Nothobranchius furzeri: one gene and its partners. The protein of the gene in region 4 interacts with the protein of the main gene of each other region in a pairwise test. Links are inferred from orthologs where the notes say so. Each region holds a gene or a part of one and is shown on either strand. Other genes may lie near its edges.

Evidence for each region.
Region 1: the proteins of protein boule-like (region 4) and zinc finger protein 385C interact in a two-hybrid assay, tested with the Homo sapiens proteins (2 studies listed by BioGRID). The two-hybrid records come from large-scale screens. The link is inferred for Nothobranchius furzeri from reciprocal best matches to the Homo sapiens genes BOLL and ZNF385C.
Region 2: the proteins of protein boule-like (region 4) and small EDRK-rich factor 2 interact in a two-hybrid assay, tested with the Homo sapiens proteins (2 studies listed by BioGRID and IntAct). The two-hybrid records come from large-scale screens. The link is inferred for Nothobranchius furzeri from reciprocal best matches to the Homo sapiens genes BOLL and SERF2.
Region 3: the proteins of protein boule-like (region 4) and RNA binding protein fox-1 homolog 2 interact in binary tests that used the Homo sapiens proteins (3 or more experiments, as listed by UniProt). The two-hybrid records come from large-scale screens. The link is inferred for Nothobranchius furzeri from reciprocal best matches to the Homo sapiens genes BOLL and RBFOX2.

Annotation. Positions count from the first base shown.
Region 1 is NC_091756.1:38,858,857-38,862,423, reverse strand, and holds part of zinc finger protein 385C, read left to right. Parts: intron 1-1,856; coding exon 1,857-2,204; intron 2,205-2,294; coding exon 2,295-2,497; intron 2,498-2,605; coding exon 2,606-2,704; intron 2,705-3,567.
Region 2 is NC_091749.1:75,953,537-75,957,002, forward strand, and holds small EDRK-rich factor 2, read left to right. Parts: upstream 1-1,462; 5' UTR 1,463-1,613; coding exon 1,614-1,620; intron 1,621-2,197; coding exon 2,198-2,306; intron 2,307-2,507; coding exon 2,508-2,583; 3' UTR 2,584-2,916; downstream 2,917-3,466. Other genes in the region: uncharacterized protein, read left to right, coding at 1-23, 108-292. UniProt on the Homo sapiens protein: Positive regulator of amyloid protein aggregation and proteotoxicity. Induces conformational changes in amyloid proteins, such as HTT, driving them into compact formations preceding the formation of aggregates.
Region 3 is NC_091752.1:66,506,531-66,510,097, reverse strand, and holds part of RNA binding protein fox-1 homolog 2, read left to right. Parts: intron 1-370; coding exon 371-544; intron 545-900; coding exon 901-954; intron 955-1,049; coding exon 1,050-1,142; intron 1,143-3,567. UniProt on the Homo sapiens protein: RNA-binding protein that regulates alternative splicing events by binding to 5'-UGCAUGU-3' elements. Prevents binding of U2AF2 to the 3'-splice site.
Region 4 is NC_091754.1:47,836,593-47,840,701, reverse strand, and holds the start of protein boule-like, read right to left. Parts: upstream 2,850-4,109; 5' UTR 2,548-2,849; coding exon 2,524-2,547; intron 2,211-2,523; exon of another isoform or gene 2,115-2,210; coding exon of another isoform or gene 2,109-2,114; intron 2,014-2,108; coding exon 1,867-2,013; intron 1,785-1,866; coding exon 1,693-1,784; intron 1,620-1,692; coding exon 1,565-1,619; intron 1,490-1,564; coding exon 1,414-1,489; intron 1,341-1,413; coding exon 1,183-1,340; intron 1,102-1,182; coding exon 1,033-1,101; intron 947-1,032; coding exon 794-946; intron 711-793; coding exon 639-710; intron 563-638; coding exon 524-562; 3' UTR 1-523. UniProt on the Homo sapiens protein: Probable RNA-binding protein, which may be required during spermatogenesis. May act by binding to the 3'-UTR of mRNAs and regulating their translation.

The DNA of each region.
Region 1 (3,567 bases), on a different chromosome or scaffold from region 4:
AATCCACTTTTAAACATAAATTGAAACCAAAGCCCCCAAATGCATGTTTTCTTTTCTCGACTGCAGACAGGAGTCTTACGTTTTCAAGCATGCTTGTAGATTGTCGGATGCTGATTTGGGTTGTGAGACGGCTCAAACATCTGCAACCGAGCCGGTCTGATATGCAAATTTCCCTCACATTCACCTTTTTTTTTATCATGAATGATGATTCATGATTATGTTCCAGACGAGGGATTTGGTTAAGACAGCCGCAAATCACACAGTGTGATCCGGGCTTAATATGGAGTCTTACACCCACTCCCATGTATTTTAGACTTGATTTTTATAGTTATATGTTACGAAGCCACCAATGTTTTTCAACAACTGGGCATCATTAAAGAGCAAGCATGAGGACTGCTTGAAGGTGGATCAGAAAGCTCAGATTCTGAGGAGATTTGTGGAGTCTGGTGAGCCAGGGGGAGTGGCTACCAGATTCTTACTCAACTCCCACTTCCTGTTTGAAAAATGCAACAAATGCTGTTGCCTAGCAGACCAAGAGGGCAGAGCCGCAAACAAATACATACACACACAGGCTCACAACGACATTGTGACATCATATTGTACCAGCTAACATTCTAGGGTACCTCTTAGCCAATAGCGATGGCAGATTTAAATTCACCGACACAACACTGACAGTTTTAGGCAGAAAATTTTAATTTAAACGAAAATGCACAAAAGTGCAAAACTATTGACTGCACGTGTCTGCAGCACGATTGGACACACATTTATGTAGTTTATCAGAAAAAAACCTGATTTGGGGTGACTTGCTCTTTAAATTCATTTTCAACATTTGGATGGAAATTTCCAGAGATTAACAGTAAAAACTACACATTATCTCATTAAAACCCACAAATAAGTTATTAATCATTTTTAAAAATACACATAATTTTCTAATGTTTCTATTCATCTGAACTAATTTCTGAGTAATGACTCTGCAGTTTATGGTTTTACTTTCTGCCAGCCATCAGTCCTGTAGCTTCTCATTTTGTCTGACAACAAAATATCACCACCGTCTTTTCTATTCCCTCTGTCTGCTTTTCCTTTCCATTATTGATCCTCTGCCTCCCATTTTCTTGCAACACCTATCAATTTCCCCCTCGAAGCACATAATGATAAGCTTGTTACCTTCAGTGGTTGCCATGGTTGTTGATTGATGTGACGGTGGGAGATTGGGCAGAGAAAACCAACAGATGGCAGAGAGGCATGAGGACAAAGGAAGAGCGATTAAGATGACAGAAAAAAGGAGAAAAATATATGAAAATGCTATAGATGATAGAAAAAAGACAAGGTACAATCAGAGGGTGAGATAAAAGAAAATAACAAATAATGAACAAAGATCATGTGTATTTTTAAACTTAATCATATTGATTTCGTACATTTTATTCATATTCAATTTTAAAGGCTGCATGATTCATTAATTGCCAATAAATTTAATTAGGATAAATGTTGAAAAATAAAATAATTGAATGAATCTATCCATAAAAATCCTAGACCCTAACAGTTGCAGCATCACACAAGCATTATTTGCTTTTTATTTAACCCACAAAACAGAGGGCATATTCAAATTTCTCAACTGCAGTCACAAGAAAAGAGAAAATACAAATATATTTTTTTTTAATTTTAACAGTCAAAAATTTCTCTCAAAGTGTTAGTTTGGTCATTTAAAAAAATAGGAATCCAAATACAGAACATAACATCCATTTAACACCATTCTAAAGGTGGAATATGCAGAATCATTTTAAAAAGTAAACAATGACTGAAGGTTTAAAAAACTCTTTCTATATTTTAAGCAGCTTGTTTTTGCCCTCTGTTCACAGACTCCAGCACTTCATCCCACACAGCACAACAGCATCCTGAAAACACCCAGGAGTGCTCAGCAACAGCCCTGCCTTCATCCACAGACTCCTCACCACTCCCCCTGGCTCACCAGACTCCACAAATCTCCTCAGAATCTGAGCTTTCTGATCCACCTTCAAGCAGTCCTCATGCAGATGTGTGCAGCCCAGACTCTGCTTCAGCACCACACTCTGACATCCAAGGAAGCTCCACAGGAGGAGAGGAGGAGGAGACTGGGAAGGAGGCCAGGGAAAACAAAAAGCATCTTCACTGTCCAACCTGCAAAGTGACAGTCAATTCTAGCTCCCAGCTAGAGTCTCACTGTAGTGGTATACATTTTCATTTTACTACTGTGAAGACCCTTATCATTTGAATCTATGCTAGCTTACTAATCTCTCCCCTCTGGGTGGTTGAATCAGGGTCGAAGCACAAACAGATGCTAGACGGTCAGCACAGCCATCGTTCACACCGCAGAGTCAAATCGGGATCATCTCAGAGGCCAAAAAGCCGAATTAAACAGCAAATCAGGAGCAAGAGCAGAGCGGTGGTCGGTGTGACCAATCAGGCCTTTCACTGTGAGCTGTGCCAAGTGTCTGTTAACTCAGAAACACAGCTGAAGCAGGTAAATGGGTTGATGCATTATCGTTATTTCATTTACCTAATTTTACAACTGCTCTAAGTAAAGGATTTGTTGCTGTTGTTTTCTTTTTTTATCTTGTTTCTCTTTTAGCACATGAACAGCAGGAGACACAAAGAGCGTTTGGCGGGGAAGCCTGTGAAGACTAAGTTCACCCCCTACAATAAACTACACCCCAGTGTTATCTTTGCGGTAAGAGCCACGCGTGTTTCATTAGTTTTCTGTTAGTTCACGTTTGTGTTCAATTACAGCACCCGCAATTCATGCTCAAACTTGATGATACATTGGCCAGATGCAAGAAAAGGGATGCAACACCATCATTAAAAGATTTGGTTTAAATATTAATGAAGCAGAAGGATTTCATGGGTATAACTAAGAGCTATTTGCACCTTACTTCTCATTAGGGATGTAAGAAAAAATCAATACACTGAAATATTGCAATATTTTGTGTTATGATACTTAACTGATATTAGCAGTGTATCAAATTTTATTGAGAATTCAAATGCAAACTTTTACTGTATTTATTTCCTGTGATGCAATTCAAACTCTGGCAGCTAGGTGGCAGCAGATTTTACCAGCTTCATTCTGATGAAACAACAAGATTACTAAGCCTAAATCTCCTACCCTTTCAGCGCTTTGGGCTTCCTGACAGGGTTGCGGAAGGCGCTTTATAAATAAAGCTTTGATTGATTGATTGATTGATTGATTGATTGATTGATTGATTGATTGATACCCTTCCCATTGACTCATGGGTCCGACATATTTACTGTACAAATAATGTCCATAGACTCCATTTATAAGCTTTTGATTTAAAATGGGAGGTTCCCACCACCGCCATTTTGACCATGTCACACGTCTCGTCATGCCCAGACAGTGCCAAAATGGGAAAAGAGGTAGAGCTAAGGGTGGGGCTGTTACGGTTGGAAAAAAAATTGAACCAATGTAGCTACTAGCTAACTTAGCAAACCCAAGAAGCTCCGAAGGGGCTCCGGGAATCGGGGTAGCCTGCCCGCATGGCTGCCTGACTTTCATGAGAGGCTGTATTCATGCTGGTC
Region 2 (3,466 bases), on a different chromosome or scaffold from region 4:
CAGAACACACCCACTCGGTACAAGTAAGTCGTTTTTGGCAGGTAAACTAATTGAACCAAACAGTGATAACTTGTGATATCAGTCCTTGTCTGTGCTCCGCTAAATAGGCACCCAAGAAGAAGCTGAAGCAACCACTCCCCCAGCACCACAACAATCTGGAGCAGAAAAAGAAGCATCACAATGTCAGTTGGATGTTGAGCATTTTGAGCCTAGTTTTAGATCCCTGTGTGATTACCTTATGGACAAGATGAAAAAGGATGAATCCTTCAAAGCCCCAATGACATCCGTCTGATCAGTCTTTACAAAAACACACAGACAGCAGTCTGATTTCAGCACTGTACGTTCGGGAGGATGAGGAGTGCTGCTGCATGTAAGATCAAACCGCAGCCATGAAAGGGTCTGCAGTGAGCGCACAGATCGGTGTGCAGCCTGCAGCTGTTGCTCGCCGTAAAACTTCACTGGGGGGCAGACGGTCACTCATCACTGGTCGACCTCCAAAGAGAGCTTGGAGAGAACACAGTTATGGGAAGGAAAAAGAAGGGAGTGGTGCACTGCCCAGAAGACTGGCACCACACTCCCTAGCCCAGTGTGTCTCTGCTGGTGTGTCCAACACTGTAAAAAAGTAATAGGCACGCCCTCAAATGTTCATCTAACCTTTCTCTGTTGTTTGCTGGTGACATAGCTGGCAGTTCAATATACTTATTCACACACACGCACACACACAGGTGTTCTGTACTTGTTCAATAACATCTGTGATGTAATCGGCATGGCGTATTTTCATGCTCATGCCTTTTGATAACAATTTGGAAATACGGGCTGAGGCTGTTAAGCAAGCAGGATGAAAGTGAGGACACGTCTTTCATGTGTTTAAATCTGCATCTTTAATTGAAATTAGTTCAAAGCTGATTATGATTTAAACCCTAACACCTTTTCAGCAGTTTTCATTATTCTAGAAGAGAAACAGACCTGCTGCACACGGCTGGGTAAAATAGGGCCGTTTTATTATATTTCTTACATTTCTCCTATGCACCCTGCTGTAATAAGATAACATCAGTGCTTTAGAGCCATAGACATAAAGTAAGTCCCACAGTGTGATAAATGCAATAAGATTTATAAGTTCACTTCTTACGTTTCTCAGTTTTTCAATAAAAGAAACAAAAAAAACTTTTGCAAAAGAGGGCAGAATGGCGCTAAGTTCTTATTTTCTTAAAAAAACAAAATAAAATCCCCAAAATATGTGTTCTGTTGGTGGCAAGAGGACAGTCTGCACTTAGCAAGGGAAGACGGTTTGCTGCTTCATTAAGTAGCCAATCGTAGTAGAGTCCATCTAGCCAATCAGTGGCGAGAAAGGCGGGACCTTCCTTGGACATCCTAGAATTCCAAAAGACGCACCCGGTACGTCACTTTTTACAAGGACCGAGCGTAACAGACGTGCCTGAGCGTGCGCACGCGCAGTTGGTGTGTTTGGGCGGAATGTTCTAGTTTCTGACTAGTTACTTTTTTCTGTCGGCGCAACCAGAGCAGGAAAAGCGACTGGGGAGACGTGCTGGGAGCCAGTGGCCCTTTGGCTGAGCTTATCTGGAATTTGACCGAAAGACACGTCGGTTGCTAAAATGACAAGTGTGTAACGACATCTTTATTTGGTCTTAAAGTGTTTAGATGATCGGCGCATGATCACGTTAACGTTTATATATGTTGCTGGGTCAGCTTGCTGTTCCAGCAAATAGACGGGGTTCATTGGAGTATTTACTGTTAAATGACAGTATCATCGCTAATAAATAAGATTTTAAACGTCATCCACTCATGAAGTGTTCGGTGTTTTAAGTTAAAGTGTATGTGTGTGCTTTGGACGACTTATGTAAGACGACTTCGAATCGGTGGGTCAAAGGGTTGTTTGGATGTTGGTATTAGCCCTGTAGCTTGCAGCAAGAACACAGCGGAAGAATAATCGAGTAGAAAAAGCTACAGATAATAAAATTTTTGTTTGAAGTGTTTAAAATTCTTTTGTTTTGTATTTGACTCCGTGATCGTGTCCATGCAAACTCGGCTGCCTGGATGCGGCTAAATGCTGGCGTTGGGCTGCTCTTCGGCGGCTCTGCCACGTCGGCTGCTCTCTGCTCTCGAGTTAGATTCATTACAGCCGCTTTAGAGCATCTTTACAACTGAATCCGCATTGTGTTTATTTCATGTTGTGCAGGAGGAAACCAACGTGAGCTTGCACGCCAGAAAAGTGCCAAAAAGCAAACGGAACAGACTAAAGGAAAGCGTAACGAGGACGGGCTTTCTGCAGCTGCACGGAAACAGAGGTAAACGACATTGAACGGAGGTCCACTATAATATTTGCTTATTGAGTCCTGTGGTCTAATTTACTGCCATAATGGTGTTTGTCGTATAGCTTTTTATATACAACTCCACTTATGTTCATAGTCATGCAGCATGAGTGTTTTTAAAACACCGTTTGTGTTCTGTCAAAGTAATTATTTTAATGTTTTGTTTTCCCACCAAAGGGATGCTGAAATAATGCAACAAAAGCAGAAAAAAGCAGACGAATCAGGCGGGAAAAGCAGCACAAAGTCGAAGTGAACGACACCAGAGATGAATCTGAGAACTCATACCTTCAGCTTTCTTCCTAATATTTATAACAATGAATTTCCCATTTTTGTCTCAACTCAAGTATCCAGGATTCAACATTCTTCCAAGTGGAAAATTACAACGTATTTGGATTTGTTAATTTTACATAGGGAAATTAAGACTATGGTTTAAGGCTTATTCCACTCTGGTGCTGCATGCAGACGAGCATCGGTGGTGTAAGCAGGTTAAAGCTGAACAAGTCTTGACAAACATGTAACATTTGTGTATTTTTGTACAAACGTGTTTCCCTCGCTGGTTTTGAATAAACTGTATCTTTTTAGTTCATGTTCTGAGTAATTCTTAATGTCTGTGGTGGACGTGTTTATTGGGGGGCGTTATGCCCGCTTCACACTGGAGGCATCAGCAGAGTGCAGTGGTTTACTCGTGACTTGAGTCAGTACACACTGGGAGAATTTCTGCCGCAGAGCAGCTTCTCTGCCGTGCTCCTCGCTGGACTTCACACACTTCACAAAATCCCTCGAGTCTTCAAAGATCACCCAATTTTATATTTACATCCCAGCAAATAATAGCCTGGCTGTTTTTGGTCAAATCAAAACTGGGTGAGTGTGTCGTTCCCCAGGTTTCAGTGCAGTAAGTCACAGGTGTCAAACTTAGACCCTCAAGATCAAACATATATTAACACTGGCCTGCTGGCCCATGTTGCCGGAAAGACCACAAATCCCATAGTGCTTTGTGGCATTAGTGAGTCAGCCTTGGACAAACTGGAAACCATAGATATGTATATAAACACACATGATTATGCTAAAAACACTCAGCACCAAGTTTACTCAGCAATTTGCCATCTTTGAAGGCCAGAAATGGATAAATCAAGCGC
Region 3 (3,567 bases), on a different chromosome or scaffold from region 4:
AGAAAGCTGAAGTTTCAGGTCAGATGAAACTGCTGACGTTAGCGAAAAGTTCAAAGCTCTGCTTCTTGGCCTCACAGAGCTGCTATTACGGCTCCACAGAAACTATTTAAACCTCATCCTCCCGTCAGAAACCAACACGCTGCTATTTTAGTCCGTCACACGCTTCTTCAGCTCACTTTTCGTTTGTTTTTTACGTAAACGTTCGTCTGCTGGAACATTTTATTGGACTTTTAGTGTCGCAAAAACTTGTTTACCTAACTTCCTGTATTTTATTTCTACACATGGTAAACACCAAAGTGTTATTTCCAAGTCCTTAATTCTCTTTCCTTGTCCCCCCCCCCCCCCCCCCCAATCTAACCAAACACCCCAGGTAAAGCTGGACGAGGCCGCTCAGGGTGAGGTGGGAGCTCAGTGTGTTGCAGGAGGAGCAGGAGCTGGAGGCTCTGCAGCAGAGTCCACGGAGGCGAAGGGCACCCCCAAACGCCTCCACGTCTCAAACATCCCCTTCCGCTTTCGGGACCCAGACCTCAGGCAGATGTTTGGGGTAAGAAACTTGGAATGCTGCGGGGCCTCAAACACGATCAATAAATCAGTCTAGACATCCTGGGTGCTCCGCAGAAGGGTTGCCTTTCTGGTGGCTGACAAAAGAGTCCAACCAGCAGAAAGAAAAACACCCTGAGGGGGTGGGGGGTTCTTTTAAGTTGTTATGTATGTCAGTGTGTTAGGGCAAGTGACAAAATGAGAGGAGGAATGGGACAGGGCAGGGTTCAAAAGGAAAACTCTGACGCTGGAGTTGTCTTTGGTGCAACAGTGACCCCTAGTGTTGAGTTGCTGCCTAAACTGTTACTTCCTCTATTATTGGCCTTATTTGTTAATTTGTCTAATCTGATGTTTTTGCAGCAATATGGGAAGATTCTGGATGTTGAGATCATATTCAACGAGAGGGGGTCAAAGGTAGGTGAACGGTAACCAGCTAGGATGTAGAGTCCTCCTTCACGGCGGTTCCCCGAGTCTCCATCTGTCTCTTTAACCTCTGCTGCACACTGCAGGGTTTCGGCTTCGTGACATTTGAAACCAGCGCCGATGCGGAGAAAGCCAGGGAAAAGCTCCACGGCACTCTGGTGGAAGGTCGTAAGATTGAGGTAATTTTCTCTGCCTTCCTTCTCCCATCAGCTCTGCCTGATCACCGACTGCTAGCTAGATCCATCCCATCCTCCCTGATGTGACATGCTCTGATGCAGCCCACTAGTATCCCACTCCCCAGTCCTTTGCAACATGTTTCCTGTTTTGTTTTCTTTTAATCCGAAGAGACTCGTTTCCTATTTATATCCAGTCTATGTGGTGGGAACGATCTGAGGGTGGTGCAAGAATACCAGATGAAAGCATGCTTCTCCTCTGCTGCGTTTTCACACTAACCTTTTAGATTTTACGTTTGTTTTTTTCTAATGATGCACAACATGTTCACACACTGATGCTAGAATGTCTCGTTCGACAGTTGGAATGATGTTTAGCTGGAAGCGGGGGGGGGCATGAGGGGAGCCCAGTGACAGGATGATGCATGGCAGAATGCCGTCTTATCTTCTTCCCTGGCGTGGACGTTTCTTGTGTTCCCCTCTGCTGGTGCTGTGGTTGTGACAGCTGATGGCTCCTGGTGCAGCAGCATGCTGGGACTCACAGCAACACTGACGCATGTTCACTTTATGGAGGGCTGGGTCCTTTCCAGTCAACTCTGTTTGCTTAAATGCATTAATTTTTTTTTAATTCAAATACATGTTGTTTATGTTTTTCTGAAGCATGTGCTGAGTGTTTGAAAGTGGATTTTTCTGTTCTATTTTGGGGTTTAAGTCAGTTGTTTATATGCAATCCCTCGACGGAAGCCAGGATTTGTGCATGGGCTTTCCTTTGGGTGTGTGCGGAGGTGTGTGTGCGTGCGTGTGTGTGTGCGAGTGAGCTCCTGCATGACAAATGAGGCTGGACGCTTCTAGTTCTTTTACTCTCACTTCTGTCGCAGTGTGGTTGAGCGCGAGAGACCGCCACCTGCATACACCGATACGACATGATCCCTCCCACCACCTCCACCTTCAGTCAATCAGCAAGCTGGGTGGATGCTGATGCAGCCGTCCTGCATCCGTCCCACCCGTGTCTGTGTTCTCTGGTTTTGTTTCAACCCAGTTCCTTTTATTTTTTCTCCGCATGATATCAGTCACTTTTCTCTCAAGCGGCGAGGGGTTCAGTCTTTGTTTTGAGTTGTCACATTGCATGCGTTCTGTCGTGCTCCAGTAGTGGTGATGGTCCGTAGTGAGTTGGGCATCAGCAGCATGGTGGACGCTGTGGAGTGTGTCTCTCTTTGTCTGTTTATGGTGCATGAGCCTGAAGAGACAAAAGGTTAGCGTGGGAGGACAAGCGATGGTGTTTATACATTCTTTCAACCCGAGCTGAAGAAGTTGGGCATTGCTATTTGAGGCGATGCTCCCGGGCAGACCCCCACCCCCACTCTTTCAGATGTGGCTTTCATTGGCCGTTTGATTTCTGTGTTTGCTGAAATGTGTTTTCAGAATTGGGAAGGCAAAAACTGATTTCAGTTCAACAGCACTGAAACACAGTCCCACTTGTCTGTGAATATGTTACTTTGCAGTTTATTACTATTCACTGGCATGGATTTAGCTAGCGGAGCCTGGGTGTGCATGGTTCATGTGGGTATTTGCTGCCTAACGGGGGCCGACGTGTGGACGGATCTACATTTGTTAAGCTGCATGTGTTGTATGACTGCTTTGGTGGATTATTTTTGACGATGGGGCACAAAATTAAATTTCCTTGTGTAGTTAGCATGAACTTTTCCTGAGTGTCTTTAAAAGGCCTTCAGAGAGTAAATCTTTATGAAGGTGGTTTTATTCTGCTCGGTGCATGCCAGTGGACGTTGGCTAGTTGCTTTTCTTTTCAATAGATGCCGGTAGTGTGCATGTCTGTAGCCTTGATGAAGAAAACGAGAGAGATTTGCTGTACCTAAAGTCACACTGTACTTTTCTTTGTCTGGGATAAAACTCTGCGCTCTGAAGAATTCAGTTTCCTGTACACTTCCAATGTGTCCATGTAAGTGGCCCAACTACAGTTCACTTTGTCTCCTACCTGCTTCTTTTTCATCCCATCCCACCATTATTCACTCTATATATAGAGTCCACTAGGCCTATATATAAGCGTGGCAGTGTGTGTCAGTATGCACCCACAAACACGCACAGTTCCTGCATCCTCGCGTGTCCGTGGCTGTCTCTGTTACCGTGTGTGTGTGTGTGCCAAAAACCATTCCACACTCATCATAGAGGGCATTTAGCCTATTGACATGATTTTATGGGTGAACGAAGTAAATGTAACGTTTATTATCCACGTCTGTTTTGTTTAGCTCTTAGACGACGTTCATCTGTGTTCTTGTTAGTTTATTTAAGCTGTTTGTCTTCCTGCAGATATTTGGTTTATTTGTATATCAGTAATATACAGTTAAAGTCAGAATTCACATACACTCATCATTAACATGATTGTAGTATTAATTTAGGTTTTAATGATGGATTTTAT
Region 4 (4,109 bases):
GGGCTCAGATGGAAAATAGAAAGGTACGTGCTAATGTGACGGAATATCAGCCGTTTGTCCACAGAGGATTTAAAACAGTCGTGTTTGTGTTTCAGAGACGGATAAAAGACAAAATCTGAAACGTTTCTCTAGATTATCATCTTTAAAATCCCAGATTAACTGGGTGGGAAGCCCCGCAACCACCGAGCATAAAAGATGTGATTAAATCTGACAGGAAGCACTTCCTGCCTCAAACGATAACTTTAAAACCAACAGTCACCTGGAAATGATCTTGTTTCCTGCAGCCGAAGGCGCTGAGATTATTCTAATCTCTGTTAATCCGACTGATGTTTGAGGGGTTGTGAATTTAAGGCACCTGTAGCATCCTTTTGTTTGAGGCGCCCCCCCCCACATCAGGCTGTCAGCGGGTTTAGTGATGGAGGCGTGGAACAGGTGGACTGCTGAGGGTGACGCGTGCCTCTTCAGGAGCAGGGAGGAGTGAGACGTGGTGACATCAGGTGGCTGCGTGGACTCAGACGCTTCGTTAGTGCCGGGGGACGATGGCAGAAGGAAACACCTGTTGCTATGGAGACAAAAGGTAAACAAATGAGACGTGAGACCTTTCAGGTGCTGCTTACAGCTCAGGAATGTTCCTTTACCATTCCTGGATCGCCTCGCTGAACATCTGGCGTCCTTCTGGAGTAACCATGAGGCCCCGCTGTGTCCACCACCTAGAGACGAGAGAACAACAAAGTCCAGGTGAAACAAACCAGATGTTTATATCTGACCGCCATGTCTTTAGAAGACTCTGGACCTCTGCTGGAGCGTCCTCCCACACAGGCCCAAAGGGCAGGAAGAGGGGTCCATCAGCGGGCTGGTACAGATACTCGGACGGCTGAGGGTACATCACTGCGCCAGGGGGCACAGGCACCTCCACGGTATTCCACGGATACGGATTTGGGAAATTCTGCAGGGAAGCAGAAAGAAGGTTTTAGGTGCACGGGGACGCGGACGACTGCGAATCAGTGAAAGCAGCGCTGGTTGTGAACGGACCTGGAAGTGGTGGTACTGCTGCTGGTGAACGTGCTGATGGGACGGAGGCAGCATCAGGTTAGGAGCCGGCTACAAACCAAAGCAAATCTGTGTTTCCTTACGTGGTTAGCTGCTTCGGACGCATCCTAGTGAAGGTGGTTTCGTACTCACGGGCCAGAACTGCACATCTGGGCTCACGTTGGCACAGTGGAAGTACGCCATCCCATTGTTGTAGGTGTAGGGGAAACCTGTGGAGGTGGACATGACGAACGTCCCACAGGATACCTGAGGCACGGCGGGTCCAAGCGGGGTCATGTGGGTTCTCCTGGCTGCAGACAAAGCCAACAGTTACAGAGTCCGTCTGACCCAGCGGCTCGTTCGCTTCGGTTGTTCCAGACTCACGTCTTCCTGAGCCCTGCGGCCTTTTTATAGCACGGGCGATGCGGAGGATCCTGTCTCTGCAACGGATCCCACTCCTCTGTAAGAAACAAGTCCAGTAAGTTTGGATAAATCACCACAAACCCAATCGTCTGCAGCAGAGCCGACCACTCACAAGGCTCAGGACTCTCATGGCGTCTTCAGCTGTCTCAAACGTAACAAACCCGTACCTGTTCAGAGAGGAGAGCGCTCAGGAAACAAGCGGATGACTGGAATTCTGTCAGAAACACCACAAACACACACCCTTTTGATATTCCTGACCGATGTGACACGATCTTCACCTCCTTCACTTCCCCGTACTGCGAGAAGACCCGTCGCAGGTCGCTTTCATCAACCTTGAAGCACAAATATCTGCATTTTTTACGGCGTTACTGTTTAAAACCACTTGTTTCTGTATAGGAGACGGAAAAACCTCACCTCATCACCGATCCGGCCGACGAAAATCCCGTTAGGAATGATGGTGCCAGGGGTGTGGGTGAGACAGCTGGGGGCGTTGGCAGGGTCTGCTGGGAGTAAGACATCCGGGAGAAAGGAGGTGCCTCTGCTGAGGTGGGAGGACAGCGGCTGCAAAAAGAAGTAAGAGGGGTTTAAGCTGCAACGGTTTGGAAAAATCAGAAAGACGAAAGAAAACAATCATTATTAACTCTTCAAAAGACAACCAGCATAAAAGGGTCTTTTCAAGGTCACCGGCGGTCAGGAAGCGTAAACATCAGTCAGCTGCAGCTAACCGCCAACAAAACTCCTGTTTCATCTTAGTTCGTCAGTCTCTCTTAACACAAAACAACCGAGTTCATATTTTAGAGTAAAAAAAAAAAACGGAAACTGTTGGTAAAACGTGTCTGAACCTGAAATTGTAGCTTATTTGTTAGCATCTTAGCACCGCAAACGGGTCAAACTTTTACATTTTATGCTTTTTTACGATCGAAAAAACAAAATAGAAGTCTAAAAAAATAATGTATAATTAAACTTGAATTATAAAATTGTTATTGACGAGACGAAATCCAAACGTAACCATTTGTCAACTTGCTCGATAGTTTCTTTGCCTCCTGTTAGCAAATAAATGACGGGACTCACCGTGCCTTGGTCTTCCCTCTGCATTGTGGCGTTAATCTGAGTAGTTTATGACTGAAGATGAATAATCTCTGCAGACTGCAGGAACTGAGATGAAACAGGACCGAGCGCTTTAGCGGTTCTACTTCGACGGTTGCTTCCAAGGTTACGGCTCTTCCCCTGACGTCAGTTGGCAAAATAAAACGTTGGAAGTATTTTTTTTCCACTGAAGAAGTTAAATAATATAAAATCCCAATGCAAATGCGATATAACTATAAATGCAATATTTTTTATGTTTAAAAATGTATTGAAGTTAGTTTGGCGAACTAAGCTAAGCTAACTAAGCTAAACGCAAAAGCGGAAATGTACTGCACTTTCTGTCCGCTGGAGGGCGCCAAATATTTCCGTTCAGCAAATCGAGTTTATTTAAACATTTTTTAGAATATTTCCACACAAAATGACACAAAGTGATACTTGTTTTGAAGCATTTTTTTAAATAATTAGTCTAAAAGTTGTTTTTTTAATGTTTTAGTAGAAAACAGCCGAGTTTTCTGGGTAATAATTTACTTTGTGATTGATTTTTAACGTACAAAGCTTTATCTCCATGCAGTCTCAGTGGAACACGGTAAGATTAATTTAATAAAAATTAAATGAACTGCGCAATAAATATTTAGAAGTAAAAGGAAGAGCAAATGTTAAAACGTGGGCAAAAATGAACATTATTGCAGTATAATTTCCTGCCACACAGTGGCGACATTTCACTGCAAATATGATAGTTTCTGTTTCCATGAAGTTTGAAATGTTTGTGGCTGAAATGACGATTTGTACCATCTAATTTCACCAATTAATGTTTGGAGCCACAAAAGATATCCAAATATTCATATATACTGATAAATCACTAATTTATGTTGAACATTAAAACAGTTGTTCAGTGCAAAACTCAAGCATTTAATGCAGAGCATCCTGCTGAGAACGACCCACTTGACAACTTGCAGTGCTGCGAAAATGCATTTGTCTCCTTACAGCTTTATCTTGTTTTTGCTTTTCTGCCTCACTTTATTCACATGTCACAAAAGTTTTAACTTTGATGCAAACACCCACTTCGGAATAACAATTAACATGAGGTGTTAATGGTGATTTTAAAAGCTTGTGTCTGCTTTGGATGTTTGTCTGATGGAGCTATAATTTGTCAGTGATTGCTGTCATTTACACACCCCCACCTTTCCCTTCTCCTCCCTTAGGCCACAACAAAGCCGCTGCACAACAAACAGTTCACAGGTAAAATAAACTATTTTTGTTATATTTTCATAAACCTGCATGTTTGAGTTTCTTTTTAACAGAAAATGCAACATGCCATGAGTGTTTCCCACCATCACCGCCCTCATCTGAGTAATGTGGGCAGCTCCATTACTTGTCACTCATCTACAGCCTTTTCTAATTACCGGGTGAATGTGCCAACGAGGTCTGGCTGTGCAAAATGAGAAGGGCATGTTTGATAATTACAGCCATTTACAGCTAAACATCCTTTTGTGTTCCCTGGTGATCATTAAGTGCAGCTTTGAGACGAACTTTTACATGATCCGAGTAAGAGAGAAGAATATCCGATCAGA